4 linked regions of the Arabidopsis thaliana genome follow. The protein of the gene in region 3 interacts with the protein of the main gene of each other region in a pairwise test. Each region holds a gene or a part of one and is shown on either strand. Other genes may lie near its edges.

Region 1 (7,658 bases), on a different chromosome or scaffold from region 3:
TAAAAAATCTTTACATTTTGCTAAGTTAAGCTCATGACGCCTGACTATAGGCAAGGGATGTAACAAATTTGGATCCTTATAGCTAGCTAAAATCACCCCGTTATATAATTTATGGGTGATATTCGGCCATCAAGGTAAGGTTATATTCATTTCATTTTCACAAAAAATGGAAAAGCAATTGATTCCAGACATCAGGAACTCCAGGTACACACCAATGAGTACAGTCAGAATACGATGCCGGGTTTTTCAACCGGTCTTCATTTAGAGGTTCCCAGAATTTCCGGTACACCGATGGATGACCATCTTTTCGATACTCAGACAACTGAGTGATGTTTATAACTGAGACCTTTGGTCCCAATCTCTCCAAAACTCTCTTCACCATCCTCATTGTCGGAATGTCCGACCCACTTCCCCAATAACTCTCTTCCTCTATTGGTTTCTTCTCCCCGTAGCAGTTTCCTTCGCTTCCCGGGTTCCATTCTCGGCTCCTGACCAGTTACAACAGCTCGGTTTTAATGCGAAAATAATAAAGAGAGTAGAATCAATCATATTGATGGAGAACAGGGGATAAGTATTTTTGTTACCATTGATGTGTAGGAGACATTGTAACGAAGAAAACTCGCTTTTTGTTTGGATCGACATTGTTAGCAACCCAATCACCCCAACTATCCATTGCCATCTCCATTCCCTCGGCGCTCTTCACCTCCTCGCATGACCCTTTTTCTTCACTGCTCCATCTTTAGTTCGAATATGCAATGAGTACCAATTGTTAATTTTTGGTTTTGAAGATGAATAAAATGATGTCTATATATAATTACCGGAGCTTGACAGAGTCTTGTCTCCACCATAAGTAGGTGTTGAAGATTAGAATATCAGCATGTTGCCACTTTGATGCATGTTTAAGAACAGAATCGGGTCGGATAATCCGCTCGCTCAATCTGTGATTAACAGGGTCATCAGAATTCGACTCCACGAGCAACGGTGCCCAGAGAAACTCCACTGTGGCATTGTAGTCCTGCGGGTACATACACACCAAAGTAACCAATTGCACCAAAACCACAACAAAGAGTCAAACTCAAGGCATAAAAGTTGTTAAACTCAGAGTGTATTTATTACCTCAGCCCTGAAAATGGTGAGGTGAGCGTTAGGAGACATAGACTGCTTGTCACGTGGAATGACAGACTGTAAGAGACAAACCATTGAAATCCATTGGCCTCTGTTTAACGAGTCTCCAACAAACATCAATCTCTTTCCTCTCAGCTTCTCCCACATTTCTATCGCATTCCATCTACCAGATAAAATGATAACCACAGTAAACACCTAAATCATCAGTTTCTACCGTTCTTTGCAAACAATAGTAGCTCCCAAAGTCATAACAAACTATTCATCCATATGTTCTCCATTTGATCAAATCAGTTATCCACAACACACATAACTCTTACAGAAAAACTTGGAAAAATGAAACAAGCAGCATAAGTTTTTTTACCTCTTCAAGTTGCAGGCATGAGGTTGCCATCTCCAATGCTGATACTCCAAATCCTTCCTACCATGCTTCTGACAAGCCAACTGGTCGGACATGTAAGGACACTGAGATTCCTTGTGTAAAGGGTATGATGATGAATTATCAAAGACCCATTTCCCAGAAAAGACATCACATTTCTGCTCCTCCTTTGTTACTTGACCCGGGTGGTCTTCAAACGGGTCAACCCATCCGATTTTCTTCCCACTGTACTCTTTCGTCGAGTTGCATTTGCTGAATCTATCCAAAACCTCTGCATTTTTTTCAAAACAGAATCCTCCAATTAGTAAGTTCGTGATGCTTTCAGCAGAGAAAGTAGCACGAATCACTTCAAAATCGGAAAAAAAAAATCAAATCAGAACAGTACCATGAGCTCCCAAGTAGTTAATCCGAGGAACATTAGGCTTGACGAAATCGAACGTGGAAGGTTCTCGGAGATTTTGAGTGTGACTCGCGGCGTGGTGATGGATCTGCTGAATGCTACGCTCGTTGAAGAGAATCATAAAGGTGACAACGAGAATAAAGAGGAGACCCGCTAATGGAAGTCTACTCTTCTTTCTACTCCATCTCTGCGACATATCGGAGACTTTCTTTTTAGAGAAAATGTCACCACCACAGTAAGAGGAAGACCTCGTCTCTTCTTCTTCACCAAAACTTGCTTTGATGCGACTGGTACAAGTTTGGAGCTATGATGATCCAGTGAGTAGAGGCAGAGAGAGATTAATAAAAGTTTAATTTGTTGTTGTTATCTGTTTTATAAAATATAAATTTGTAATTTGACTTTGACGTGTTTTGTTTACCAGATCCCATCTTTCTCCTCCTCTTGGCTCTATTGCATCCCTCGAGCTGTCTTCATCTCTTTTTTTTTTTTTTTAATAAATCCTTTTGTTTCTTTCTTTTAAAAAATTTCACACTTCTCCTTTTTTCTTCTTTTTAATTCAGTTTTTTGCAAAGAAAAATGGATGGATTCTTTTGGGCATGTGAGATCAAACACGCTTCAATTGCGAGTGTGATTTATTCTCAAATCTGACTATTATAAATGCTGTTAAGCCAAAAGTAGAGTAATAATGTTCCATATTTTAGGCTTATCATAATCAATTCTTTTAACTTATGTACAAAAACTTTTTTAAACACCTTTAGTTACCTCTTTAAATGTACATCAAAATGATTATCATCTCATGCTTCTACTTTTTTTGGTGTGAGTGTCAAATTCATTTTGAATATATGAGAGAACATAAATTAACCCAAGTAAAAAATTGTAAGACCAAATCATTGAGCACACGAATAGTAGTTCTTTACAATTGGAAAAAAAAAAGAACAAAGTAGAATTGCTCCGGCCATATTGAAGTTATGATCAGATTTATAAATAAGTTGATGTATACTCACAGTAGGAGGCTTTAAATCAAAACCAAAACGTAAATGGAAAAGCTTGAAACTTTGGAACCAGACAGAACACAGACAGGTGTTAGAATTTATCGACTCGGAGACCATTTCTTTGAACCTCATAAGCATCTCTGCTTCTGCTCTTCTTCATTCCTGCAGTGAAATAGACCTTTGATGCATCTGTAGATATGCTTGTCACTTTTACCCATATCATTACTTTTGTCTTGATTCCTTCCACATCTGTTAGCTTTCCTTTCTCAAGATGTCCTGTTACTGTTGTTGTGAACTTCAACACTGATGAATCCTTGTATCCAACTTCGCATATCGATGGGATCAAAACGGTTAGTTTCTTTGTCTCTTCATCGAACTCGTAGTTTGTAGCATCTCCCGGGAAGATTCCAATCGGCAAATCATATTCTTTTAGTAACTCAGGCAACGGCTTCTGCATTTTCCCTGTCAACATGATGACAAATGGGGAATTTCAAAAAAACAAAAAATTGAAAGATGCAGTCAGAAGAAGAATAAAAAAAAGCAAACCTTTGATTTTGTTGACCAACCATTTTGTTCCTCCTTCAATGCTCGTTGACACCGACTGGCATAAACAAAAACATTGTTTTATATGTTAGAAAAGATCACAGTTTCAAACAAAATAATCTAACCACATGAGCAAGAAGAGAAGACATTATAGGATCATATATTTGAATCATTTCTTAAGATATCATGGTTTTGGTAATTAGATGTTCTTCCTTATGTGACGTGATTTACCTAACAATGAACTCAAAACATTCGTACAACTGCATGATACCAAAATTACGATAAAGGTGGTTGATTATATCGGAACCACGTCAATAGATCAAAATCGATTAGGAAAACAGATGAATCAGATTCTATAGGATGGGTCAAAAAAAGACGTACGTTGAGATCGTTGCCGACGGAGTCAAACTGCTTGTTAGCCTTTTGGCCTAACCAGTAGGATCCAACCTTGTTGAAGATCTGATCCATATTCTCTCGAGAAAGGATAGAGAAGATTTTGAGAAAACGAAGGACGACTTTCTTTCTTTTTCTTCCGGGAAAGAATTTTGGGAACCCACCACTCTCGCACCGTTGGATTCGTTATTTGTGCACTATTCCTGCAGCCAATTAACTTATGACATGTGGCAAATACATAAACACCAATATATTTATTGAAGCAAGCAGGCAGCATTATACTGTACAAATTACAAAAAAAAGTACTTGCCTATCACTCCTCCTTGGGACTGACTATCTATCTATTGGGCCTTCAATGAAAATCAGATTAAATAGGTGCAACACAACTTGGGAACTGAAGAACCACATGGCACAAAACAGAGTAAAATTAAAGACTACAATCAATCCTTTTTTTTTGCCATTCCTCCCATGATTTTACTTGTCTATTAGACGAACCTCAGCTAAATTTGTAATTACAGTCGAAAATATTATTAAGCTCTTTAACACTTTTATAGCCTACCCTTGTCTTTGTGCATTCCAGAGTAATACGAATCGATTCAAATCAAGCCAATAAAATAAAACCAAGCCTAACTACACTTTATTTAATGCTTAATTTTTGTCCTTGCCAACATTACAACTTTTTAGAAAAACCATTTGATATGATTTTTTAACTTGGGCCGTGACATTACTAATGAGGCCCACAATGTACTTACTCCGACGTGTAATTGTCTCCGATAAAGACAAGGAACCATTTGGAACCTCTCACGCGCTTTAGCTGGAAATTACGTGGAGTTGAGCTACTCGCGACTCTATCCTATGTATAATTGTATATCAGTTTTCCGTCTCCATCAAATATCCTAGAGAGCCACGAATTTTTCCTTCTTTGTTGTAAATTATGAATATTAGGCCACATAATACGGAAAGTCTTAAAGGGTTTGGACCATTCTCAATCTTATGTTCTAGTAGCTTGATGATTTTTTATAAAAACAATATGGAAATACTTTTATCTCTATCCGATTTCCTATGTCAATATGTGTCACAGGATTTTACACGTCTAACTTATGTTGGAAACGCTATCATCTTTTCTTTTTTTTTTTTTATAGTAAACAATTGTATTTGTTATCATCTACAACTCTAAAAAATACATTTCGAAAAATAGGAGAGAGCGAGTAGGAAATAAGAAAGTGGCAACGCGAGAGTAGGAACCGGAAATGGTAAAAAGATTCTGAGGATAAAAGAGAAAGCAGAGAAACAGACAAACTTTATTTGGAGAGATGTTAACGTGGATCGAATATCCTCACGTTCACACTATCCCATTGGATGTAGCACGAGGCCGCCACACGCCCCTACATCTGGCTTTCATATCCACCCTCCACGTGGATCTCAATCCAACGGTGACCACACGCCTTTTCCCTCTTATATAAACCCTTCCTCCTTCCTCTTTCTTATCATCATCACCATCTCTTACAACAAATCTCAGGCGGCTCAACACTATCCTCTTCTACATTTTCCAACGATGGCCTCAAACGCACTCTCGTCTTTCACCGCCGCTAATCCCGCTCTGTCTCCTAAGCCACTACTCCCTCACGGCTCTGCTTCTCCGTCGGTTTCTCTCGGCTTCTCCAGGAAAGTTGGCGGCGGCAGAGCAGTGGTCGTTGCAGCGGCTACGGTGGACACAAACAACATGCCGATGACCGGAGTCGTGTTCCAGCCTTTCGAAGAGGTGAAGAAAGCCGATCTGGCCATTCCAATCACATCTCATGCCTCTCTCGCTCGCCAGAGGTTTGCCGACGCTAGCGAGGCAGTCATTAATGAGCAAATCAAGTAAGCTTCTCTTTTCTTTTCTGTCTAATTAAAGAAACGAAAATGTTTAAAGATTAGATCTAACGGAGGAGGTTGCTTTCTATTTACAGTGTGGAATACAACGTCTCCTATGTGTACCATTCAATGTACGCATACTTTGACAGAGACAACGTTGCTATGAAGGGACTAGCCAAGTAATTATTACCTTCTAACTCTAATCTTAATCTTATTTATAATAATCTTGATCGTATACTTCAAAATGAGATATATATGTCCATACTAAACATGAGTTTTTATAATCACCAGATTTTTCAAGGAATCAAGTGAGGAAGAGAGAGGGCATGCTGAGAAGTTTATGGAGTACCAGGTTTTCTATTTTTACCTTCTTTTCTGTTTTAGAAAAGTTGATAAAGACTTGTGATTCACTTAGTTAATATTCATATTGTTGGTTTGTTGTCTCTATACAGAACCAAAGAGGAGGAAGAGTGAAACTCCACCCTATCGTCTCACCTATCTCAGAATTCGAACATGCTGAAAAAGGAGATGCTTTATATGGTAAAACTTTAAGCAAATACACTATCTTAATCCTAAAATAACAACTTTTCTTTTTTTTTAAAGATACAGATATTTATTAGTTTACTAATCTTTGTTTTCAGCAATGGAGTTGGCTCTGTCTCTAGAGAAACTCACTAATGAGAAGCTTCTAAACGTTCACAAAGTAAGTTCCCTAACTTATCCATTTGATCATCAAAGATTAAACTTATAGTCATTTTCCTAATACTAACTAACACGTACTTTTGGCCAACAAAACAGGTGGCCTCAGAGAACAATGATCCCCAGTTAGCTGATTTCGTTGAGAGTGAATTTCTGGGAGAGCAGGTAAAAGTTCTTTTGCCTTTGTTCGGATTACAACTAGTGACTTGTATAATCTGTACATGTTCTGACTCAGAATATATTATGGACTATTTCTAGATTGAAGCAATCAAGAAGATCTCAGACTACATCACCCAGCTAAGGATGATCGGCAAAGGCCACGGTACGAATCAAAACCCTATATTGAGATAGTGTTCTCAGACTTGAATGGTATTTCTAAAAGCTTATTTACATTTGTTCTGTCTTTGCAGGAGTTTGGCATTTCGACCAGATGCTTCTGAACTAGACTTGGACCTCTATAAGTTCACTTTCAGATGACCAATGTTGGGGTTAAAACAGAAGAACCCGAAGATTCTGTAAAAGCTTTAGATTGAACATTATGGACTAATAAGATTGTAGTAGTAAGCTTTGTGTTCAAGATGGTTTTTGTAATAACTTCGTAAGCTTAATCAATGAAGTTTTTGTTTTAGTATATTCTAACTAGCTATAAACCTACGGCCAAACAATGCGTAACTAAGAAAATAGTGAAAACTCAGACCTATCTAATTAAACATAGAATATTTATGATCCAACTTGAAAGAGTAAGCATAACGAACCTGTTTATGAAGAACATGTAAAAGAAGCATGAAGCGTATGTCACTTTCCACCGAGAAGGACAAGCTGGTCACTGGGATATAACTGAACAGCAAACAAGAACAAGATCACTGTCACATCAAAGCAAAAGAGATGCTCTTACTTTGATTCCATGTTGAACAGTAGAAAATCATTTCTAACCAAACAAAGACCTGTCTGTTCTACAAAGAGCTGACAAATGTACGAAAATGAGTATCCATAAGAAGTTCATGACGTATGAAAACACCATTAAGCTTTTCATGTACAGATTCTCCCTTAGTGATTTATCTTTTCATCATGGTTCTTCAAACCACTAAGCATTAAGTAAAGATTGAGAATCTTATTTGTATAATGACGAAGAAGTCCCTCGCACGGGAACAATCAAGATTGGATACTTGTATGACCCTAACAAGAACACTTATCACAGTAGTAATGCTCTGATCAAAAGCAAGGAAATGTCAAATAATCCCGAATGTTATAGCACCATGCATCTAATCTAGAG
Region 2 (7,150 bases), on a different chromosome or scaffold from region 3:
TGTTGGATTTTTGCCCAAAAGGACATTTCTAGTTTTTCCCTGAACATAACTTTCTCTAAAGTTAAAACAAAATCGATTCCTCTTATGCTTCATATTTGCAGATTTTGATTGAATAATTTTCTTTTCCTCATGAGCTCATGGTCTTAACTCGCAAACATCTTTTTTCAGGCCGACAAGCTTTTGTCTGTAGAATTTCAACCTTCTATAGAGGAGTTGATACAGTTCTTGCCAGAGAGCCGGCAGATTTTGATGTTTTCAGCTACATTTCCTGTCACTGTGAAGTCTTTCAAGGATCGGTATCTCAAGAAGCCTTACATTATCAATCTCATGGATCAGCTCACACTTATGGGTGTTACCCAATATTATGCTTTTGTTGAAGAGAGACAGAAGGTGCACTGCCTTAACACGCTATTCTCTAAGGTCAGAGTTTTGTTACAGTCTTAAAACCCCAATGTTTTATTTTCTGGCTACTTGATGTATCTTTTAAAGGAAATATTGTTTTATCTATTGCAGCTCCAAATAAACCAATCCATTATCTTTTGCAACTCTGTTAATCGTGTTGAGCTGTTGGCCAAGAAAATTACAGAACTTGGTTACTCATGCTTCTATATCCATGCAAAGATGGTTCAAGACCATCGGAACAGGGTTTTCCATGATTTCCGCAATGGTGCATGCAGAAATCTTGTTTGCACTGGTACGTTTTGTGTATTTCATGTGCTTGAACATTGACAAATGTGTTTATGTTTCACGGGGAATGTCTGTCTGTTGCAGATTTGTTTACACGTGGGATTGACATTCAAGCTGTGAATGTGGTGATAAATTTCGATTTTCCTAGGACTTCTGAGTCGTATCTACATAGGGTATGTTAAGGGAAGCCGATTTTGGTTTATCTTCTTGAGAACCTGCTCTGTTTTATTTGTTCAAATTGTGAATGGGTTTTTGCTTCATTATATTACCAGGTAGGCAGATCAGGACGATTTGGACACCTTGGGTTGGCTGTGAATTTGGTAACTTATGAGGACCGCTTCAAAATGTTCGTGTTTCTTTTTCTCAACTGGTGTGGCCTCTCTTTTCATAGATGCTATAGCTTTCTTACTCAATTATTTGGTTTCCAACAGGTATCAGACAGAGCAAGAACTTGGAACTGAAATCAAGCCCATACCTTCACTTATCGACAAGGCAATCTACTGTCAGTAACTTCTACCTGGTGTACATTCTCTACCCGGCAAGGCATTGATGGACTAACCGGTGAGACAAATCCCTCTCTAGGCATCTTGACATTAGAACTAACCTGCATTGCTCATAGACCAAATTTCCATTGATTTTGGTTTGCGGTTATTTAGGTGTAGTGAGGAGGCAAATCATTCAGCTTTGGCAGCCACTAGCTCGTTCTAGAGATGAAGGCAACACATAGAGTACTGTACTGAGGCAAGAAGAGACAGTATAGGTGGTTGATGGCGATGGAAGCGGTTGATTGTGTCTAAACCTTTAAAGCAGTACCGGCTTGATTTGGTTTGAATTGAAGACTTCTTCTGCTGCATGATATGAACCTTAAAGTTGTCTTCTCTCATCTCTAATTTTCATGTTCTTAGAAACCTTTTCACCTTTTCATTTTGATGTTCTCTCATCTTGAAGACTTGAGAGGAATTTCCGAGTAGTGAGATCAAACCGAAGAAGACATTTTAACTTCATTCGCTTGTTTATTGCTTTTAGATCTCCACCTGTGCCTGAACTGTTTAAGGATTATAGTTGGTGTGTGTCAAGTCAAGTGTCTTAGCATTTTAAGAGTTACAGATCAGATGTGAAGTCGTACAACTGAAACAAAAGGCAAAACAAGATTTGATGCTTCATACAATTATACTCCATTAATCTTTCACTTTTACACACAATCACCCAATATGTAAACAAGACACAAACGACCAAACAAATAACAAAAACTAAAAAGAGTTGTTGAATCACACAAAAACAAAAGAAGAAGAAAGAAACAGAGATGAATTGTTACAAAGATACAAATTCAATAAAGGCTTAGAAACATCCACACGTTGCCTTTGGTACTACACCAGTGGCTCTATACTTAGCACCCATTTCTTCAGCTTTGAGAAGCTCTTCTCCTTTTTTAGCTTCAACCATTGCTCTCTTCTCTTCTGCTAACTTGTGGATTGCAGCTACTTTGTTCTTCATTTTCTCACCGTACTGCGCTTTTTTCTTCTCTAATTTTTCCTCGATCTTCCTAAGTTGAGCTTCTACGGCTGCTTTCTTGCTATTTTCCCAAGCATGCACATCAGAGATCTTCTTTTGTGCCCTGTCCATTTCAAGATCATCAGAGATCTGTAAGCAATAGTAATCTTTGGGTGAGAAGATGATGAAAGTTTACCTGTTCTCAGCCTTTGACTTCTCACTCTCTTCCCATGCTTTGATGAATGACGTTTTCTTCTCTTTTTCCAAGTCGGCAAGTATCACATCTGACCAAACACACACAACACACATTTGAAGTAAATTACTGAACTAAGTAACTAAGAAACTGGACATGAGAAACAAAGTGTTGTTATCAGCTGACCTCTATCGGCCGAACCAGATGAAGCTTTCTTAGGTGTATGCTCCTCGATGGGTTCTGCAAGAAGCACACTTATAAGTATAACACATGGATATTTGTTGCAAGAAGCTCACTTTTAACTAAGTTAAATTTTGTTGCTCTAATTGGCTAATAAGGTCATCAAAATAGTAGTTTATAAAACGAAACTCCACACAGAAGGAATTACAGATAGTAAATAAAGATGAACAAATGAATGTTCAAGGATTATAAAAACTGCTGGAAAGTTAGTACTTAATTGTTATTTTCCAAGAGTTAAGCAACTTTAAAGGAAGGAAAAAATGTAGGAATATTAAGAAAGTAACCCACTTTCCTTAATTCATAGCTGTCCACAACTAATTTGTCATGATTCCATACACTTTTTGATAACACTAATTACAGGGAACATTGCTTTACTATTAATCATATTTTAATAATATCATCCTCGAAAAACATAATTCTCTTGAAAATGCCATGATGAAGTTGTAAATTCTAACAGCGATGGATTTCACCTAAACAAATAGAGTATAGACCAAGTCATATGCAAAAGAACTCACAAAAACCTTAGGCATCTTAAGAAAATCCATTTGTTAATTGTAAATTGAAACCTTAGTTCCAAACGTAAGAATTCTGAATTACATACTATAATAATTCATCGTAAACATGAATGAATCCTCCTAAGTAGAAGATTAACATATATAAAACACACACGTATGTAAATAGAAAGCTTACTTTCTACAACGGCAAGAGCTTTGGACTCGACGGGAGGTGGATTATGAATTTTCTCATCCGCGACTTCCACCGGAGCAGGAGTCGGTTCCTTCGCCGGAGCTAAAACAGCCGGAGATTCTACGTCAACCTTACTCGTCTTTTGCTCCTCCGCCATTGTCTCTCAGCCGAAGAAGAAGAACAGATTTTATGTTTTTTCCGTGAAAATGGATAAAATTGAGATTTTAGGACAATAATGAGTTAAAGAGTTTTTATATCCTCCGTTAGCTTATACCGGTGGAGCGTACTACGCGCGTTTAATAAGTGTGAGACTCTTGTTTTGCTTCGCCGTTGATTTTTGTACCCATGTGATCGTGCGGCTGTAAAGCTCTCATACGCATTGGATGCGTTACACGTGATTAAACACACCTCACTGCCGACAAGTAAAGTGGTTCAATGATGCCACGTCACCTCTGTAGAAAATTTGTCCTCCCCTTCTTTTTTCCTGATATTCAACAAAACTTAATTCTTCCAATTATACCGAACTAAAATTTTGTTTACCATATAAATTGGTTTAAAATTGAAAATCAGATTTTAGCTGGGATTTTTTTATTATGAGAAAAACAACAATCAAACTACAATCAAGAAAATAAATGATCTATATTATTGCTAATCTTGGCTTAACTAAAAAGTTCGTATTAAAAAACTGAATCTAAATTTGGAGTGAGCTCGTATGCCTATAGAATTGACAGAGTGTCGGGTGTGTATTAAATCTATAATAAAATATCAATCACTCGAATTCATTTAAACAATTATTTTAGTTTTAAAATTTAAGTGGATCAAAGGGTGACGTGGAGCCTCACTGACTCGACACGCTGGAAGACAGATACAAAAAGGATAATGTCTGTGTCTCGCGCGTGTACAAAACTTTCCGGTTATGTGGCGCGTGGTATATGCAATTTAAACTGGTTTAAGCATGTGGTATATGGACTATGAGATGGAGACATCTCTTTTTGTAGGTGTTGGGCTTTTGTGAATCCTAATGGCCCAACGGGTTTTTAAATTTCCTGCCCAACTTGTTTTAATTTAAAGAAAGGTGTAATTTTTTTTCTAACAAAGCAATAAAGTAAATTAATTAAGGCTAATCACTAATCACAGACTCACAGTTTCGAACAGCCTGTGAAAGATGTATTAATGTATTTGTATAATAATAAAAAGTACTCTACAACATGGAATTATTTACGATTAATTATCTGTCTTGTATGATGATGAGTGGTCGAATATGGACTATGATGTCACTGACCTTTATTTAATGGGTTAAGGTTTATCTTCTTTCTTCTTTCTTCGAAGTTCGGATTCTTTTATTCAGTTTAAAGCACTTATAACAAACTTTCCCAAAGAGGACTTTAATTAATTGAACTCTTGCAGTTTTATTTTTGTAGTAAGCAGATTATTTTTCTAAGAACATCAAAGGTCTTGTATTTAGTTATTTACCAATAAATACAACGTTAATAAGAGACGATTATTTGGGAAACATTTGTGTATCACATATCAATGTCCATATGTGATTTGAGCATAGGAATACCAAATATGGATGACCAAATGTCTCCTACTAATTAATAAAATATTATCTATTTAATATTTAAAAACATTTTAACTCTTCGAAAAACTAAAAAGTAAACAAGATTCACACAAAAATATGAACGTCATTAACACAAAAGATGTGAACTCTGGTTAGTGTTGAAGATAACGTGAAACAAGATTCAAATCCTCGTGGAAGAGCACCAATCGATCACCAGAATCAAACCTTTGAGCTTCCTCCTAGCTTCGGTAACGTTTAATCTCACCTGATTCTCGTTTTTCTTCTCTTCCTGTTGAATGTTTGTGAACATAGATATATATAAAGCTGAGATAGATATAGATTCATGCTTCAACGGAAAAGCATGAAGAGGAACAACAACAATCTTCTAACGAACAAGAATAAGTATGTCTATCTTAAAACGGCGTCGCATCCAGCAAAAAGCATCGCTAAAGCTACTCTGTTCCTCGTCACCTCTCTCTTCATATCTGCTGGTCTCTTAGACTTATTGGGTTGTTTCGATTTCGTGAGTTCGAATCTGAAGTAACTTCTTTTTTAGAAACTTTTTATTCAATCAAGTGAATCTTGAACTTGAAGAGTTAATAAATTCATATCTCTCTGTACTTCAGACAACTTTTACAGGTCTGAAGCAGGTAACAACTAGTATCAGAAAATCACCAATCACAAGCCAAAGATTCCCTAACCAATGCGGCGTCGTTCAGAACCAAACTCAATTATTTCCCCAAAATGGCTCCTCGAGAAACAACGACAAACCCAGAAGCAGCCATTCAAGAATATCCACGTGTCCTTCTTACTTCCGTTGGATCCACGAAGATCTACGGCCATGGAAAGAGACAGGTGTAACGAGAGGGATGCTTGAGAAAGCCAGGAGGACGGCGCATTTCAGAGTAGTAATCCTCGACGGGAGAGTGTACGTTAAGAAATATAGAAAGTCAATCCAAACAAGAGACGTTTTTACTCTGTGGGGCATCGTACAGTTACTACGGTGGTACCCAGGTAGGTTACCGGATCTTGAGCTCATGTTTGACCCAGATGATAGACCAACCGTCCGATCTAAAGACTTTCAAGGTCAACAACACCCGGCCCCGCCTCCTTTGTTCCGTTATTGCTCTGATGACGCCAGCTTGGATATTGTCTTCCCTGATTGGTCCTTCTGGGGCTGGTAAGGGCTTAACACACATGTTAATTCTATTCTGTTCTCTATTTAATGGGCTTGTTATTGGACCTAGCTAATTATATTATTATTGGGCTAGGGCTGAGGTTAATATAAAGCCTTGGGATAAATCGCTAGTGGCGATAGAAGAAGGGAATAAGATGACTCAATGGAAAGACCGCGTGGCGTATGCTTATTGGAGAGGAAACCCTAATGTGGCTCCAACTAGAAGAGATCTTCTCAGATGTAATGTCTCAGCTCAAGAAGATTGGAACACACGTCTCTACATTCAGGTTAGGATTTCTCAAAATATGTATAATTTTTATATATTGCAATTTTTAAATAATCTAAATGATCAAAAATGTTTATTATTGTGAAGGATTGGGATAGAGAGTCAAGAGAAGGATTCAAGAACTCTAACCTAGAGAACCAATGCACCCACAGGTTTAACTTAAGCCACACTTTTTGTACTTAGGAAATATTTGCAAAGATTCGATTTTAAATGTGTGATAATGATGGAATAGGTACAAGATTTATATAGAAGGATGGGCATGGTCAGTGAGTGAGAAATATATAATGGCATGTGATTCAATGACATTGTACGTGAGACCTATGTTCTATGATTTTTACGTACGAGGAATGATGCCATTACAACATTACTGGCCAATCAGAGACACCTCTAAGTGTACTTCCCTCAAATTCGCCGTACATTGGGGGAATACTCATTTGGACCAGGTTTGTATTTTTTTTTTTACATTAAGACCCAAAAAGTTTTGTTTTGTAACAAATTAACACATTGAGTGTGGTTTTTTTTTTTTATATAGGCGAGTAAGATAGGAGAAGAAGGGAGTAGGTTTATTAGAGAGGAAGTGAAAATGGAATATGTGTATGACTACATGTTCCATTTGATGAACGAGTATGCAAAACTTTTGAAGTTTAAACCAGAGATTCCGTGGGGAGCCACGGAGATTACGCCGGATATTATGGGCTGCTCGGCGACGGGACGGTGGAGAGATTTCATGGAGGAGTCTATGGTTATGTTTCCTAGTGAAGAGTCTCCTTGTGAGATGCCTTCTCCTTTTAACCCTCATGATTTAAAAGAGATTCTTGAGAGAAAAAC
Region 3 (8,544 bases):
TAAGAGGAAGAGAGAAAAATTTGCCATCTATCAAATGGTTCAAGAATGAAGAAGAAAGTCTATGGTTTTTAAAGAACTTGACTTTTTTAAGAACCTTCAAAAGCAATAACTTTGGAATCTGATACCATTTAAATTTTACAGCTTTGATTCAAGAACAAAACCCTTTTTTGGACCATACCATAACTGTAATCCATAATGTACGAACAAATTCTTTTGATTTTAGGGTTTCTAGAGATTTGGGACATAAAGAGGCTTTGTTCACTTTCGTAAGGAACCAAAATGTCTCAATGAAGCTAATTGACAAAAGTTTATTCAGACACTTCTTAACATTTTATTGTGGTCTTTAGTTTAAAACCACTCGCCTCTCATTTCTCTTAAGATTCTAGAATGAGGAAACGTTTCAGGATCGCCACGTTCTGCGTTGCGTTTGAATATCATTGTTGCTTTCATCAAAGATTCTTCCGCCGTGTCTAGCTGCTCCGGTAACCATCCGATCACATCTTTCCCGGCTGGGTAGGCAGTTCCATCGGTAGCTTGCGTAATAGGTTTCCGAGTATCGGCGAATTCAATCTCCGATAACGGAGAAGCTTTGTGGTGTTTGTAAAACTCTTGGTCACTCTCTGTTTCATCTTCTCTTCGCCTTTGCTCTTCCACTTCTCCTTCGTCTCTCGGCCATGGTGAACCGTCTAAACCAGCACAGCTCACGGAATCAAGCGACGGCGGAGAAGCGGTGGAGTTTTTTCGTTTCTGTTGGAAATGAGGTTCTGACGGGTGACCAACGGGAGTACTCTCTAGCTTGTGCGCAGTGGCGCGTGGAGATTTCGGCGGTACAAGCGGTTGCTCTTCTAAACTCGGTCGGGGAGTATCGTCTACGATTTCTTCCGCCGCCGTTTTAGGGTTTGCAACATCATCCATACCCTGAAACACAAGCAATCACCAAAAACTTAAACAAAGTTGATTTCTTTGTGTATTTTAGAACATTTTTCTTTATTTTCAACATGGTCTAAAATTGAAAACAAGAGAAAAGAAACAATTATTACTTCAGGGTCTCTCGGATAGATAGCTGGATCGGCTCCATCGTTACCGGCATGGATCTCTGGATCAGCTGTGCGACCAGACGTGGATGATCCAAACGCTAAACGCCTTTGAGCGATTGGTCGAACACGTGAACGCGCCGCTGAAGCAAACGCTAATAATCGGGATTGCATCATCATCTAGCTTTCTACACAATTTTTGTTTTCTGCGTTTCCTCGCTGATTAAAGAAAGTTTGTACTTTGTAGTAGCCATTTTTAGAGAGACTCGTGTCGACACGTGTTGATGGCATGCCTCGTTGTTAATGACGTGGCGGATTTAGAATGACTAGAAAAAGTTAGAAGCTGCTCGATCGGTGTCTCCAGATTTGTCTGTCTTAATTTTTATTATTTTCTTTTCTTTAGAAAGAAAAATATGCTAATTGCATTACCTTCTTGGTAAATAAAATTCAACAGAGCCTCAAATAAGATTTTGCTGTCAAAAACATAAAAACAGACTATTTATTATTTGTCACGGATTAATCTATATATACATTTTTACGATTATTTTGCAAAATAAATTAATAGAATTGAGATTTATTTACAATGGCTGCCATTAAATTTTATTGTTTGTTTTTGATCATTAAAAAAAAATCTTTAAATTAAATATTTAATATTTAACAATCTTCTCTAAATCTCTCCACATTAACTACACGATTAGTTACTAAAATAAACCTTCCAAAATATTAATATCATTTAATTACTACAAAATTATCATTTTTGATATTGCTTTTCTCCATGACTATAACAATTCAGTTATAATCATCAAACTGCAGAGATATTTGATAGCATATAATTACTACAAAATTACAAAATAATTAGACAATAATTCATAAACATATCAGAAATAAGATTAACATTAATAAAATAAATGTTTTTTTTATGGGACGAGTTGGCGGGACGAGTTTGGCAGGACGTTACTTAATAACAATTATAAACTATAAAATAAAAATATTTTATAGATAAATACAATTTGCAAACTTTTATGTATACTAACTTTAAAAAATAAATTGATCATTAAAAAATAAATAGTATATAGTTATTGTGATCGTATTAAAATTGCATTATAACGCATTACCTAACTAAATATTTGCAATTTAATTCGCGACTTTGATTGTCTATTTTCCTTCTTATTTTGTCACGCATTAACATTAAACTGATTTTTGCGTAAATAAGACATGTAGATGTTGATTCTGCATAAATTTTGAAGCTTTAAGAAGTCATTTTTATCGCATTTATTTCATAATTGTTTTTAGCAGGAGAGCTTAAAAAGCACATAGCAGAGCAGATAGTGAAACACTTTAATTTCCGCCTTAAACGCGAGAGAACAAAATATCCAAACTTCTAAAAATACAAAATTCACTCAAAACATGACCCAAAAAAGAGAAAAAAAAACCTAAACTGTTTTTAGAAAAGACAACGAGCGACCTTTGTTCTTAAGTTCAAGCAACTGAGAGAATACTACAGAAACCTTCAACCAAAGTTGAATCCACCCGTAGGAGCATTACCACTTTGGTTTCCGAATTGGAAACCGGAAGACTGAACATTCTCAGGAGCATCCACACCGCCAATATCTTCCTCCTCGTCATCTGCAGCCCAATACGACTCCAGGATTTTGACTGCTTTCTCATAAATCTCATTATTATCGTGACTCTGAAGATTCTCAATCTTGTCCAAACCATCTGCGTCTTCAATCATCTGCGCGTACAGATTATCGTTTCCTGTGTTGCCTAGATTCTTCTCGGCTTCACCTACTTTGAGAATGTTTTCTAGACCTTCCAAAGTCACTGTGACAACCCTTGGATCGGGACACGGTAGGAGATCACACAGGGGTCTGATGCAGCCTTGGCTCACGAGAAACCTGCAAGGATATAAGAGGTTCTATAACAAGAATCACTGAAAAAAAAACTAAAAAGAGACAGAAACAATGAGATTTGTTGTACTTGATTTGGTCATGATTGCCACCAGAAGTTGCATTAGAGATTGCCCAAACAGCTTCTTTCTTAATTTCGAATTCACCGATCTCAAGCAGGTTAATCAGAGGCCGAATAATGCCTGCCTGAAACACTTCCTGCACAACAAATTTATCGATGTTAAATCCAAATGTATATACGACTTCTGGTTTTAAATTATAAGAAAAGATATTGGTTTTTGAACATTGTTATTTGTTAATAATGTATATAACTCACTTGAATTTGACTTGTGTTCCCAGCTGTAATGTTAGAGATAGTCCAGCAAGCTTCCTTCTTGATACTCTTCTTGTATGTGTTCTTCAAAAGGTTTAACAGACCAGGAAGCGCTTGACTGCTAATAACCGCCTGTTATGGAGAAAACAGAGATGATTTACTTAAGTAAACATCAAAACTATAGGAGATATAAAAGGCAGACAGTTACGGATAATAGACTACCTGAGTCTGAATATCATCTCCGGTTACAATGTTACCAATTGTACGGAGAGCTGGAATCAGAACTGAGGGCGATGGATGACTAAGAAGACACAGATAACGAGATCAGGTCAAGATATATGTGAATGATATAGAATTGGTAGCTAAAAGAAAATTACTTACGCCAAGAGCTGAACAAGGCGAGGGATGACACCAGCGTCGATAACAGTTTGTATTTTCTCGTTTGTACCATCAGAGAGATATGAGAGAGCCCAGGATGCATCTGTGAGAACTTCTTCGTCGGTTGAATGCAGAAGGCGCTCAAGAGCTGGTAAAGCTGCTTTTGTCTGCTCAACAAATGCAATGACACATTCTCATATTAATAAACAGTTGAGAAAAAACACTTCAAATTGGTTTATATATCTTATATGCAAGGAAACCTGTTCAAATGCAGGCTGCGGCTTCCCTCTGCAGAAATTTGATAATGTCCATGTAGCATTCCTCAGCATGGAGAGCTTTGAATGCTCATGGAATTGAGCCAGAAGAGACATCATAGCCTCACAACTTAGGACATGATCACGACATTTTGGCGAGTCACCAGCAACGTTTCCCAATGCCCATACAGCCTATAATCAGGGGAAAAAAACATAGAAATCAGGATGTTAAAACAGTCGGAATCGAGTCATCAGCAATTTGATCTAAGAGTTTCTTTGCCAGAACAATAGAAAGAAAATTGATATTGAATCTAAATTGATACCTGTTCTCGAACTTCCTCACTTGCAGAACTAAGAAGTTTGACGAATAAAGGGACAGCACCACTATCAATAATGACCCTAGTGTTCTCAGATGTCCCTGAAGCGATATTGGTAAGCGCCCAAGCTGCCTCAAACTATAGTTATACAAGCAAAGCAAACAGCAAAAGCCATCAGCATATGAATCAAAGCACCAAGCTACACTTAGATATAAGAAAGGCAAGCTCACCTGAAGTTGAGTGAAGTCATCCCTGGAAAGAAATTGCACAATGTGAGGAACAACACCAGATTGAACAACTTCATTGATTGGAGGATTTCGCTCTACAAAAAATTCAACCAACCACAATAAGCAAAAACTAAAACCCACAAAACAATCAAACCCTAAACGCCATGTTAAGAGATTTATAAATCACGTACCAATTGAAAGCAATCTCCTGAAGCTAGCCGTCGCCTCCAATTGTAAGTCTCTATCCTCTGACATTACTCCAGCAATCATCTGTTGTATATTCTCCAACTGCAATTGAATCAGGGCAACTTATTATCTAACCTCAAGCAATGCAGATTCTGAAATTAGGGTTCAGTAAACCCCAAAATTCAGTACTCCTGATCCAATTATTTATCTAGGTAACTAGATCAGAAGCTTTCAATTTCATTCTAATTCACCGAGATACCCTAACTAGTTCTCAATCTAAATTCGGTACCAAACATAAACGAGAGAAACACAATCAATTAGATATAGAACACGAAGAACGTACTCTCGTTTCCGTAGGGAGAGACGAGGAGAAATCCTGCCCTGGCTGTGACGCCATGGAAGGATTAAAACCTTCACGCCGCTTCTTCTGCAAGTTCTCCTCTCTCTTGTTCTTCCGGATCTCCACCATGTTATCCTCCCGTCTCCGGCGACCTTCATCGGCGTCCACAGATACTTTATACCTGTTCCGGCGAACCTCAGTCTTCGCGCTTGGTTTGTAAGACATGGTTAGCTTAATCGAATCAACCAAAACAGAGGATCACTAGGTTCTGAAGGAATCGATGTAGACGAACAACGAATTGATCGATCGAGTTTTTGATTTCTCAGAGGAAGATGAAGAAGACGAAGGAGCAGGAGAATCAGGGTTTTGGAGTGATGCGATATAATTTATACAACGTGACGTCGGGATTCGAGGAGGCTACGGGTAAAAGACGATATTGGGCTTAGGCTTTAGTATTAATCACGATATTGCCACAACTTTTGAATTTGAAATCGCAACGTCTACAAAAGGTATAGCGCGATTTTAGTAATATAGTGATTACTAATGCTGACCTGTCTTTTGACTTTAATAAAGAGGCTTTATTATATAAATTAGCCCAATATCGGCCCAACGTTTGCTCAGTAAAGTAATGTTTTATGAATCTGATTACAATAAATTGGGCCTGGTATTTAAGCATCTTAAACGCTATTTCATGACAAACATAAGCATCAACGGACAAGAACTTAACCACCTCTACATCAAGAACTTCATTAGCCAAGTCTCTCGGACAAATCTCCCTCTTCGGTTTCCACGAACCAAATCCCAACAACTCACAAGCCATACCCTTCAAGCTAACCCTTGACCTCTCACCATAACTAAATGGAAAATTTACCTTTACCAGATCACGAACGTCAACTTTCTTAACCACTACTCTAACTAGCCCACCGAGCTTAGCGACAGTTTTAGCAATACCTATTCCTACAAAAACAAACCTCTCATCACGAAATAGATCACTAAGGCATTCGCCGAGATTGGTATTTTGTTTCATATGAAGTAGTTGGAGTATGAGGCATTTGGTTTTGATGCATAGTTGAAGAGTCGAGATTTTTGCATCATCTTGAGGATTGGTCTTGGAGTTTAGAGAGATGATCACCGTTGGTTCATCTCGGTAGGTTAATCGTATGGCGAGGATCCAATTCTTGGCTATGGAAACTTCATTTGTCACCGTTGTTTCTATGAGTTTTTCACGAAATGGAATCAACTGTGTAATTGTTACCATCGCTCAGTATGATTTTTCACTTACGCATATGTCCATGCATAATATAAACGGTTGGTATTATCAAAGTCTTCAATTTTCGAAAAGAACTCGATTCAATGAATTGGTCAAATGTGCTATTAATATGACCAATTTCCGATTGAAAACATTGAACATAAAATATTTAACGAGATCTTTAATCTGCAAACCAAATTTAACATTCCCCACAAACACAAATAGAATTTAGTAGATATACTTCATTCTCCTATTTTCTCATTAATGAATTCAAATACACTCACTAATTACAGAAACAAAAATGAAGAAAAAGTTAAAAGGAATTAAATTAAATTATAATACAAAAACCAAAAATGACCAAGAAATTAAAACCTGAATGATGATGACGTAAACTTGATAGATGATACGAACCATAATTAATAAGATCATTAATGCATCACTATATATCCCTTTGGCTTTGCAACGATCAGTGTAAACCTGATTTTGCATCTTCATTATTGCATAGAACCTCAGCTTTCTCATCAATCATATCGTCTCCTCCTTCCACATCACTATAACATTCATCTTCTTCCTCATCAATATCATCATCATATAAGGACATGGCTGATCCATATCCCGAGATTCCTGATGATGATGAAGATGAAGCCGCCGTGAAAACCTCCATAGTCTCTGATAAACGACCCTCGGAATCATCATCATCTTCATTATCATTATCACCATCGTCTCCTCCCATTTCTGTCGCTGGCAGAGGAGGAGGAGCCGGAGGGAGAACAATTGTGTTAGTAAAAGTTGACGATGGCATTATCGTAATTTCGAAACGGAGTTTACGTACGGACTTAACGACTCGCCGCCAGAACCTGGTGTTGAAGGGTTTTCTCCCCGGCGGCGACGAAGCATGAACATGACGACGGAGAACATGTGCATCCCACGTGATGACTTTTTCTTCTTCATGCTCGTGTTGTTTATTTGCTCTATCTCTAATTGATCACAATGATTTTCTTTAGTTGGTAATTGATCACCATTCTTATTTATTGTTTCCATGGTAAAATAATGAATCAAAATATCAGAAAGATGACGAAAAATTTAGAGAAAAACAAAAGTCTTATAATGATGACTAATTTTATAATTATTGCGGTAATTAATTTAATGAAAGAAACAAAAATCGGGTGGTTATTCTAAATTTTTAGGGTTTCGAAATTCCTGACTCAAGAAAAATTAAAGGTCGTCCGTAGATATATACGGGATGCTAGATAATGGGCTTTCTTCTAATGGGCCTACATTTAATATGAGTCGGCCTTGTGCAAGATTTTTTTTCACCTTTTTTAAGTCAACACACTTTTTTTTTGCTACTGTGCTTCGAATTCTGATTACAACCTAAAACGCTGTCCCTAGTCCGGCATCCATGAGGTTCCTCTTACCTAGCATTTGTTCCTCCCGTTGAGGAAAAGCAAGATCAATCAACGAGTTCCTTTTCGTCGACATCAAAAGCTTTGCGTGCTTGTTTCAGCTCTTCCTGCATCGCCAACAGTTCTCTACAGCGGTTCAGTTTTGGCAAATCCTGCATAAATCAAAGACGCCAAAGTTTCGGATATAGAATACAAAACCATAAACCATCTCAATCATCGATTGTGTACTTTTTAAAAAGAATTTTTACCTTGCGGATAAGATACAAGAAATCATCAACTAGAAGTCTTCCTCGCTTTGAACCAATTTCTTGAGCTTTATGTGTCTGCCATTGAAACATCACTTGTTAGCTAATATCTCTCCGCTTGTAATGTAAAACATGAATCATTCACAAAAAGAAAAAGCTCACTACCAAATCTGTGACGTATTCCACAACAATGTCTTCTACAAGCGCCACAGACTCTGGAAGAGGCTAAATACAGAGGAGTTTTGGATCAGTTTCAGGTGGTAAAACACTAAAAGATGTTACACGACCAAGAACCCTTTAAAGCAAAGATTCTCTACCTAATTCGTTACTTGTATTGGAATGAAACTATATCTACAAATACGGTTCATATGGCAACAAAATAGTAATGAAGAGGATAGCGGCTTACGTTTTGCTCGTCGCCAAATCCATACATCATATGCTGCACTGAAAAATCAACAAAAGCACCAAAACCATTGTTACCAGAAGAATCACAAAATGAAGAATACAAAAATCTGGTTTTAACTAAAGACTTTACATTCTTTTTGAAAGAGAGTTTTGCGCTTTTCCTGTGGCTGAGAAGTTCCCGCAGCTTTCGATTTAGACGATGATGACGCCGCCGCTGCTGGTGTGTTACTCATCTCTTCTTCTTCTTCTGATAATCAAAATCCAGGAGAGCAAAATAATA
Region 4 (8,698 bases), on a different chromosome or scaffold from region 3:
GATGTTGAAGTTGGGTTGTCGTCTAGTCGAAGGATGGATTTAGAGTTTAGTGGAAACGTAAGAGATGCAATATCACTCTCTCGAAGTGCTCCTCCTGGTCCACCTCCTCTCTGTTCAATTTGCCAGCACAAGGCGCCAGTATTTGGGAAACCCCCAAGGCTGTTTACATACGCTGAATTAGAGCTTGCAACGGGTGGGTTTTCACAGGCTAACTTCTTGGCTGAGGGTGGTTATGGATCTGTTCATCGGGGTGTGCTACCAGAAGGCCAGGTAGTTGCAGTAAAGCAACACAAATTGGCCAGTTCTCAAGGAGATGTAGAGTTTTGCTCCGAAGTGGAAGTTCTCAGCTGTGCTCAGCACAGAAACGTCGTTATGCTAATTGGTTTCTGCATTGAAGACAGCAGACGGCTCTTGGTCTATGAATACATTTGCAATGGTTCACTTGACTCTCATCTATACGGTAATATTTGCTTAAAATTCACATGTGCCTTGGTAATACTAATTCATATTTTATCCAAAAAAAAAATGTTGCTTAAAATTTCCATTGAAGCTCTTGTGGTGAAAAATGTTTGCTCAGTATCAAGCTCTTTTCTAGGTCGTCAAAAGGAAACTCTGGAATGGCCAGCACGGCAAAAGATTGCTGTTGGAGCTGCAAGAGGTCTTCGGTATCTTCACGAAGAGTGCAGAGTTGGCTGTATTGTCCACAGAGACATGCGTCCTAACAACATCCTCATCACTCATGATAATGAGCCACTGGTATGTATAAATATGGTCTTGCTCATTCATCGTAACAGCAGATATCCACTGTTTCATATGCTTTTTCGTCCTGAGTCAACTTTGATAATATCATCAGGTTGGAGATTTTGGTCTAGCAAGATGGCAGCCTGATGGGGAAATGGGTGTAGATACACGAGTGATAGGAACCTTCGGGTGAGACACCTACTAAAGCTATCATTTTGCTCCTGAAACTTAACAATTTGTCTGTTGCTAAAAGAAATTGCTTGGTTGGTGTGCAGCTATCTAGCTCCCGAATATGCTCAAAGCGGGCAAATCACAGAAAAAGCTGATGTCTACTCGTTCGGGGTTGTTCTAGTTGAGCTAGTCACTGGCCGCAAAGCCATTGATATCACCAGGCCGAAAGGCCAGCAATGCCTGACTGAATGGGTAATGATTTCATATCTTTAGTTTTCAGCAAAGTAACAGAACTGACTCTCCTTTTGTGGCTTGTGATCTCAGGCACGTCCTCTACTGGAAGAATATGCGATAGATGAACTTATCGATCCGAGGCTTGGGAACCGTTTTGTAGAAAGTGAGGTCATTTGTATGCTTCATGCAGCTTCGTTGTGCATACGTAGAGATCCACATTTGAGGCCACGCATGTCTCAGGTAACCAAAAGCTCTTCTTGAAATCACTCTTCAGTCTCAGTCTCAGGATCATTCAGTTTAAGTTTCTGATGATACTAAAACTTCTGGTAAATAATGAAGGTGTTGCGTATACTGGAAGGAGATATGATAATGGATGGAAACTACGCATCAACTCCAGGTTCAGAGGCAGGCAACCGAAGCGGGAGGTTCTGGGCGGATCATTACAGCGGTCAGCTAACGAATGATGGCTCGGATAGGTTCAGTGAAAGGCTGTCTGTTGAAACGCCAAGACTAGCTTTGAGGGAGAGGGAAAGAAGCCAGAGGTTTGAACTAAACCATAACAAGCAATACTAATCACACTACTTTGCTTTATGATAAGTTTAGTTGATAGGGTATTTAGTAAAGTCCTCTGTTTTAAGTGATGTGGTCCAAAGCTGGCAACACAGCTTTTTTTGTTTGTATAGTGGGGTAAGATGCAAAAACAGTTGCTAAATATGTTATCAAGGAATTTAAAATTGTTTTTGGTAAAGGAGTATTAAAAGAACAAAACAACAAGAGAGGCTTTTTCTCCTTTTTTCGAATTTGAATTATTGGTTTAGGAGAGTCAATAGAATTGTTCTGCAGAAGAAAACAAAACAATGAGAGGGCTTCCTTCTCCTTACGACATCGACATTGGAAGTCTTCAAAATTGTAATAATGGTGCATGAGAGAGAAGTCATGTTTGAATCTGACTTTGCCTGTCAATACAGTGATGCGTTGGTCCTCAGTATCTTTTCTACTTATCCGCATCACCAATTATCAAAAAATTTCAAAATTGAACACACAAGAAAAGCCCAAAGATGGCGAGGACTTTGGTGGGGCAGTACGTTCAGAGGTTCCATGGATTTTACTCACTGGATCATGACAAATATCTGATTGTCTCTTTCTATCAACGTGCTCATAACAACATAAGATTTTGGAGATCTTATTAGTAAATCTTGAATAAATATATTCATATGTATCTCTTAAGTCAGTGTCAGCATAGAAGGATTCATCTTCATGACAACAAATAGTAAGTGAAGATTTAAAATAAGAAATACAGCTTTCATTTGCTTATGATCTCTATATATCTTGTTTTCATAAGAGACTACCATTGGCATATGGTACATTATCCACCACATTCTTCATTTGAGAAGTGAGGCTTTGTGGTTATGATAATCTTTTACTGTTTCCTCATCTTTGATCTTGCATATCTGGAAGAACCAAAAACCAGGGTGTGACATTGGGGTAGCTGTAATGACTATGAGAGTAATAATCTGGCAAAATTTGAATTTTAAACTAATTGTTGAACAAGTGTAAGAAAAACTACTCTTACTCTATATGCATGCCGCCTCGGTCTGAAGAGGATAAGAGGTTCCCTTGAAGATGATTCATGGCATCAGTAGCTTGCTCGATTTCCTGCAATTGGTGAGAGTGGGTATATAGACTACAAAGACAAAATCAAAAGCATGTATAACAACTTATACCTCAAAATCAGCAAATGCAACCGGCATTCCGCCTCTAGCTCGGATTTTTAAAATGTGGAAACCAGGATATCTGTAAGCAAATGGATCAGATCAATCGACTTTCGGAAAGGCAAAAACCAATGATTGTTTGAAGAAACATTCAAACCCTAATGCTGTAGGTTTCAGTCATTGTACAAGGTTACCTAGATAGGAGTTGTTTGAGTTCATCTTCTGTACAATTAGGCCCTAGATTAGCTATAAACAAGGTCGAACAAGCTCGAGCACCAGAACCTCCTTCAGATGCTTTCTCTAAGTGCCCCTGTAGAAATCTATCAGTAAGCTACTGAACCATAAGGAAGTCTATATGGAAGTATCTTACAGTAAGTAACAAATAAGATTTTATTAATCTTCAACGAACTTGAGAAATAGAGATATCTCAACTGGTTAAAAAGATTAGATTTTTGGCTTGGACTTACATTAGCAGATGGTGCTTTACTATCTGGCTCAGAATCCGCTTCGCTGTAAATTTGCAAAGAAATCAGAATACATTAGTCTTCTTCTTTTGACCTAAAAAACTACAAAACCAAGCTTCTAATTGTCATTTTCAACCTTTTGGTAGTATCGTTTTCCTTTGGAGAATCGCTATTTCCAGGTTCCTGCACCTCATCTGGATCGCTATCCCCTAGATGCATCAACAATGATCAAGCAGAAACATAAAGCATTCATACATTTAAATAATTAGGAGTCCACAAGGTAACCAGAACATTACCTTCATCACTCTGGTCATCCTGAGACTTAGAAATTTCCTTGTTTCTGTTATCAATCACAACATAAGGTCCACTTCCTATCCACATAGACTGTTCATTACTCATTGATCGATTTACCAACCACACTAACTCAATAGTAAGAAGAGAGTAAAGTCTAGAAAATACCTGGCCTTTCTTTTCTTCTAGAGTTTGATCTAGCTAGTTCTATATGTAGATTTGATCCTGTTTGAGGATCAAATTTCACACCCTAAAAGAAATGCTTCACCACAATCAAATAACACAATGTAACAATAGAGTCACACAATTCGATCAAAGTGAATCTTACATTTAGCTCATTCATTGCAGCCAAGGCGAATCTATGACTCGTGAATGTTGCAAATGCCACAACCTGAAGATAGGTAACTTCAGAAAGCTTAAACATCGATAGAATCACAAAGTATACAGCTTTTCTAAAAATGGGAATAAAAAAAAACAGAAATTGGAGATTTTTACAAACCTGGTCACCGCGTCCAGTGTACTTGAGCTGACAAGATTCGAATCCATGACGACGACGGAAGAGATTGTGGATCTCACGAGCCTTAACGTCATTAGGCAAGCCAGAGACAAAGAGAGTGTTAATCGCCCCAGGTTCGTCGGCGAGCAGTGGCAGCTGCGGCGGAAGATGATGAGGATGAGAATGAAGTTGATAGACGTAGAAAGGATCGTACGGTTGGTGATACGCCATTTTCCTCTAGCCGGCGGCGAGGTTGACGGTTGTATTAAGCGCCGGCGAAGAGAGCTGACGTGTAAATGGAAGTGTGAGACACACTGTTTAAATGTAAAAATATGTTCCTTTTTGAATTTTATGGGCTGATACTATTGGGCCTTAATGAATGGCCCAATAAGGCGCCAAAAAGTGATAAAAGTAAGCAGCCCGCCAAAAACAAGAAGCGAAGACTTTGACATTATTAAGTTTGTTCATACTTCAAAACTTAAAAACAGAGAGAGAATCAAACCAAACTTACACGGTTACACCATAAACTATAATTACACATAAGATGATCAAAAACAATAGAATATACATAAAAATGGAGATCAATCGTTTTAAGACGAAGGGTGTGACGTCAGTCCTGAAGTCTCAGTCGTCGCCGCTTCTTCATCCAAAAAAAGATCATCCGTCTTCCTAATCACCGCATGGATCAGAACCAACACAGCTCCGGCCATCAACGCCGCAACAATATTAAACGTCGCGTTGGTCAATAGAAGTAGAACGATGGTAATCACCGATAGACCAATCAAGACCGCACGATCGTCGATTTGAAACCTGAACACCTTGAGAGGCACATCACGGAGAAAATAAAGGAAGATCCATAGGAAAACCAAACCGGTAAAGACGATGAGCGAGGTCGGATGCCAAATCAAGCTGAAGAATATGACGTTCAAGATTACGATTGCGTAATTACTACGGAAGTAAGCAAGATTTGTCTTGATTCTTGAGAAAACATCGGAGACGCCGTGAGGTAGTCCCGTGGAGTGTAAATCGAACATCACCCTCCAGGAGCGGCGCGTGGCTAGTCCGTCTTTGATACGTTGCTTAGCGCGTGAGATAGACTCGTGATTCACTGCCGGAGATGCATGAGACGACGTGGTAATCTCGTCGTTGTTCGCCATTAGTGAATAAGATGACTTGATTGAAATAATGTAAAACTGTTCTGATTTATTGTTTTATCTCTCTGTGTATAATATATGAAGAAGGTCTCTTGAATTTGCATATGGAATAAAACCAAATAAATTAGATGGTGTGTTAAAACATTAGACCGAGTTTTTTTCCGTAGAAATTTTGTGATATTATTACAATAATGTAGCGTGATGTTATATATATATAAAAGGATGTAGCGTTATGATCTGATTCAATTTGGTCAATGTCTGAAAGTCGATCGAGTTCCTGGAATATGAAGTTGGAAGAATTAAATAGAAAAACTTGGTCTGCCACGTCCAGTGTACTTGAGTCTTGAGTGGATAAGATTATGGGGATGAGGATGATGTCGATAGACGTAGTTAAGATCGTAATGTTGGTGATACGCCACTTTAAACCGGTTTGCTTCTAATTGGCGGCAAGTGTGGCGGTGGTATTAAGCGCCGGCGAAGGGAGCTGACGCGTACAAAGATGTGTATGCTCAATACTGTTAGACCATCTCCATCAGTAAGGAAAGTTTTTCAAAAAATTAAAATATTAATATTTTAATTAAGACAGATATATTAATTGTTATTTAATAGTTAAACTAATAATAGGATAACAGCTGTCCAAATTGAATGAGAATAGTTTCTCAAAGTTTCTCCTCCAAGAAACTTAATTCTCCTTCTCTCCTACTTTTTCTTCCTTCTCTCTTACTTTTTCCTTTTTTATTATATTTTTTTTATTGGGTATCTCATTGAAAGACTACTGATGAAGATGCTCTTACATATCTAATGGCGTCCGTTTAGAATTACATGGGCTAGAATATTTGTGCCTTTTGAAAGACCTAATTATATATAAGGATTTTTGCTTCAAATCTTTACATTGGAAATTTGAATAAGGCCTGCATATATATCAAGGATTTTTGCTTCAAATTGCTCATTTGTGTGACCCAAATGAAAAAAGAACTTAAATCAAGACCAAACTTTTTTTCCTACTTTGAAGGTGAACCAACCTGAATAAACTTTACAACAAAAATTGATTATTTTTTTGTTACGGAATGCAAAAAGGGAATATTCATTACAACCCATTTTGAATTTATAATGTTTGACTTATTAATTTGATTATTTATTATGTATTTCAGATTAAATCATTTTAAATATTTCAGATTAATAAATCATTCCAAGAAATTATTCCTGAGTTTTGCGAATATAAAATACTCCCTCCGTCCCACTAAGATGAATTTTTTAGAAATTGCACATTTTTTAAGAAATATTGTATAAACATAATTTTAACCTCTTAATATATTTTAAAAATAATAATAAATATTTATCTAATTATTTAGTAAGGGTAAAACGGGAAAACAATTTTAAAATTTGCATTGCAAATATAAAATTTCTATCTTTGTAAGACAAATATTTTTCCTAAAAAATTTATCTTTTATGGACAGAGGGAGTAATAAAAATTATAACAAATTAGAATTGTTCAAACTTCAGACAGAGCTCAAAACTCAGAAAACAAAAGAGAGAGAGAAAGTCTCAAACCAAACTCACACCAATAAAAATTGATTACGCATAATTAAAAAAACAAGATAATATACAAAAATAGAAAAGATACACAAATTTCGAGATGAAACGATTTAAGTCGACGGGTATGACGTCAGCCCAGAAGTCTCAGTCGTCGCCGCTTCTTCATCCAAGAAAAGATCCTCCGTCTTCCTAACCACCGAATGGATCAAAACCAACACAGCTCCGGTCACAAGCGCTCCAACAATATTAAACGTCGCGTTGGTCAACAGGAGTAAAACGACGGTTAACACCGATAAAACAATCAAGACCGTCCGATCATCGATCTGAAACCGGAACAGCTTGATAGGCTCATCACGGAGAAAATACAGAAAGATCCAAACAACGACCAAGACGGTGAAGACGATGAGCGATGTCGGATGCCAGATCAAGCTGAAGAAGATAACGATCAAGACAACGATTGCGTAGTTCATACGGAAGTAAGCAAGATTGGTCTTGATTCTTGTGAACGCATCGGAGACACCGTGAGGCAGTCCCATGGAGTGGAAATCGAACATCACTCTCCAAGCACGGCGCGTGGCTAGCCCGGCTTTGATACGGTGTTTAGCGCGTGAGAGAGACTCGACATCCACCAACGGAGATGCATGAGACGACGTCGGAATCGCACCGTAGTTCGTCATTAGTAATATCGGGTTATGGTTTAGCGCGTGTGAGATTGAATAGAGAAAGTAAATGAAAAGACTGTTTGTTATGTGTATATATGAATTCTGAAAGGTCCCAAGAATTAGGTGATACACATTTGCATATGGCGTTTTCTAAACTAATCTATGTTTATGAAATAAAACAAAATTTAATTAGATCGTGTTTTAAAAAGATTACAATATAGTGTAACGTGAGGATTTGATTCACTACTTGGTCAATGTCTGAAAAGTATAAGTTTTAGATACTCGAGATTTGGGTAACAGCAATTTATAAGTAGATGAATTACTACATGTTGAAGGACTATATAGTTAATTTGAAAGACTAATGATAAAGTAAGAGACACGGTGTCACCGAGCGAGAGTGGCATTATTGAATAGTCGATACAGGCTACACGTGACCCCATTTTAGAGGAGTCTCTCTGGCATATAACTACTCTTTCGCCACGTGTAATGTCGGCAGGAACAATGAGTAAATTATTTATAGTCTCCCTCGGACTTTATCATGATTTTTAGTCAGCCCAATTACAAAAGATATTGGCCCAATACAACGAAGGTTTCATGTCACATGCTCTCTCTCCATTGGACGATCCACATCGATAGGCTTCTTTAGCGAGCCAGACTCATGGCTGCTTTAGAATTGATCCCGCTCTGTGAAACAAGAAAATAGTTAGCTTGTGTCAAAGCACAATACATATAAGATCAAAACTATACCAAAATGTATGATGGATTACAAAAATCTTAAGTTTTTCTCCATAAGAACCAGAGAAACCTATTCAACAAGATTGCTTAAATCAAAGGTATATTATATAATGTAGCTTTCGTTACAAGTAAGCAGAGAAGCAAATACATATATGTAAATCAAGTAGTACCAGATCCACATCACCTATTTTCAAAATAATTCTACATTTTTGTATATCTCAAGGTCTTCCAACAGTCTCTAGTGTCTGCCGCAGCAAACAAAGGTTCTCTCACGACTGTTCAGGGAGACTAATTAATCCCAATAGATGGGGGATATGTTTCACTGTTACCATTACCAATCTTATATGATCACCACCCACTAGAACTAAATGGTGATATACTCATTATATACTCTTATTGTTCCAATGGTTAGTGATCATACAAGATTCGTGATTGTAAAACGTATCCGCCATCTCTTGGATTAGTATCTCTGAAATTGTCTACTTACATGAAAAAAAAAGTT

Evidence for each region.
Region 1: the proteins of IMPA-6 (region 3) and FER1 interact in binary tests that used the Arabidopsis thaliana proteins (3 or more experiments, as listed by UniProt).
Region 2: the proteins of IMPA-6 (region 3) and AT2G45820 interact in a two-hybrid assay, tested with the Arabidopsis thaliana proteins (2 studies listed by BioGRID, with this or other methods).
Region 4: the proteins of IMPA-6 (region 3) and PRA1.F4 interact in a two-hybrid assay, tested with the Arabidopsis thaliana proteins (one large-scale study listed by BioGRID).

What each region holds. Positions count from the first base shown.
Region 1 is NC_003076.8:227,321-234,978, reverse strand, and holds FER1 (ferretin 1), read left to right. Parts: upstream 1-4,927; 5' UTR 4,928-5,384; coding exon 5,385-5,692; exon of another isoform or gene 5,693-5,716; intron 5,717-5,781; coding exon 5,782-5,865; intron 5,866-5,977; coding exon 5,978-6,038; intron 6,039-6,138; coding exon 6,139-6,226; intron 6,227-6,327; coding exon 6,328-6,389; intron 6,390-6,484; coding exon 6,485-6,550; intron 6,551-6,643; coding exon 6,644-6,707; intron 6,708-6,795; coding exon 6,796-6,830; 3' UTR 6,831-7,026; downstream 7,027-7,658. Other genes in the region: TBL35 (TRICHOME BIREFRINGENCE-LIKE 35), read right to left, coding at 158-488, 585-737, 819-1,015, 1,117-1,288, 1,487-1,796, 1,887-2,097; AT5G01610 (hypothetical protein (Protein of unknown function, DUF538)), read right to left, coding at 2,985-3,355, 3,440-3,494, 3,818-3,904.
Region 2 is NC_003071.7:18,861,122-18,868,271, forward strand, and holds AT2G45820 (Remorin family protein), read right to left. Parts: upstream 3,621-7,150; 5' UTR 3,456-3,620; coding exon 3,302-3,455; intron 2,612-3,301; coding exon 2,558-2,611; intron 2,463-2,557; coding exon 2,375-2,462; intron 2,303-2,374; coding exon 2,026-2,302; 3' UTR 1,832-2,025; downstream 1-1,831. Other genes in the region: AT2G45810 (DEA(D/H)-box RNA helicase family protein), read left to right, coding at 169-420, 514-694, 772-860, 960-1,033, 1,119-1,197; DTA2 (downstream target of AGL15 2), read left to right, coding at 5,203-5,382, 5,486-6,039, 6,131-6,323, 6,410-6,474, 6,555-6,765, 6,855-7,150. UniProt on the Arabidopsis thaliana protein: Exhibits a non sequence-specific DNA-binding activity.
Region 3 is NC_003070.9:581,037-589,580, reverse strand, and holds IMPA-6 (importin alpha), read right to left. Parts: upstream 5,322-8,544; 5' UTR 5,185-5,321; coding exon 4,963-5,184; intron 4,722-4,962; coding exon 4,625-4,721; intron 4,529-4,624; coding exon 4,437-4,528; intron 4,345-4,436; coding exon 4,213-4,344; intron 4,082-4,212; coding exon 3,896-4,081; intron 3,806-3,895; coding exon 3,639-3,805; intron 3,559-3,638; coding exon 3,480-3,558; intron 3,390-3,479; coding exon 3,261-3,389; intron 3,143-3,260; coding exon 3,015-3,142; intron 2,933-3,014; coding exon 2,545-2,932; 3' UTR 2,362-2,544; downstream 1-2,361. Other genes in the region: AT1G02700 (GATA transcription factor-like protein), read right to left, coding at 349-918, 1,041-1,214; TAF13 (TBP-associated factor 13), read right to left, coding at 7,662-7,766, 7,863-7,937, 8,025-8,084, 8,266-8,303, 8,395-8,497. UniProt on the Arabidopsis thaliana protein: Binds to conventional NLS motifs and mediates nuclear protein import across the nuclear envelope. Acts as a cellular receptor for the nuclear import of the virD2 protein of Agrobacterium, but is not essential for Agrobacterium-mediated root transformation.
Region 4 is NC_003074.8:4,488,293-4,496,990, forward strand, and holds PRA1.F4 (prenylated RAB acceptor 1.F4), read right to left. Parts: upstream 5,540-8,698; 5' UTR 5,267-5,539; coding exon 4,700-5,266; 3' UTR 4,341-4,699; coding exon of another isoform or gene 4,059-4,340; intron 4,005-4,058; coding exon of another isoform or gene 3,942-4,004; intron 3,864-3,941; coding exon of another isoform or gene 3,782-3,863; intron 3,694-3,781; coding exon of another isoform or gene 3,619-3,693; intron 3,532-3,618; coding exon of another isoform or gene 3,459-3,531; intron 3,369-3,458; coding exon of another isoform or gene 3,326-3,368; intron 3,169-3,325; coding exon of another isoform or gene 3,053-3,168; intron 2,941-3,052; coding exon of another isoform or gene 2,871-2,940; intron 2,803-2,870; coding exon of another isoform or gene 2,716-2,802; intron 2,598-2,715; coding exon of another isoform or gene 2,567-2,597; 3' UTR 2,336-2,566; downstream 1-2,335. Other genes in the region: AT3G13690 (kinase with adenine nucleotide alpha hydrolases-like domain-containing protein), read left to right, coding at 1-460, 596-756, 854-930, 1,017-1,164, 1,237-1,386, 1,486-1,719; AT3G13700 (RNA-binding (RRM/RBD/RNP motifs) family protein), read right to left, coding at 2,716-2,802, 2,871-2,940, 3,053-3,168, 3,326-3,368, 3,459-3,531, 3,619-3,693, 3,782-3,863, 3,942-4,004 and 1 more; PRA8 (PRA1 (Prenylated rab acceptor) family protein), read right to left, coding at 6,910-7,476.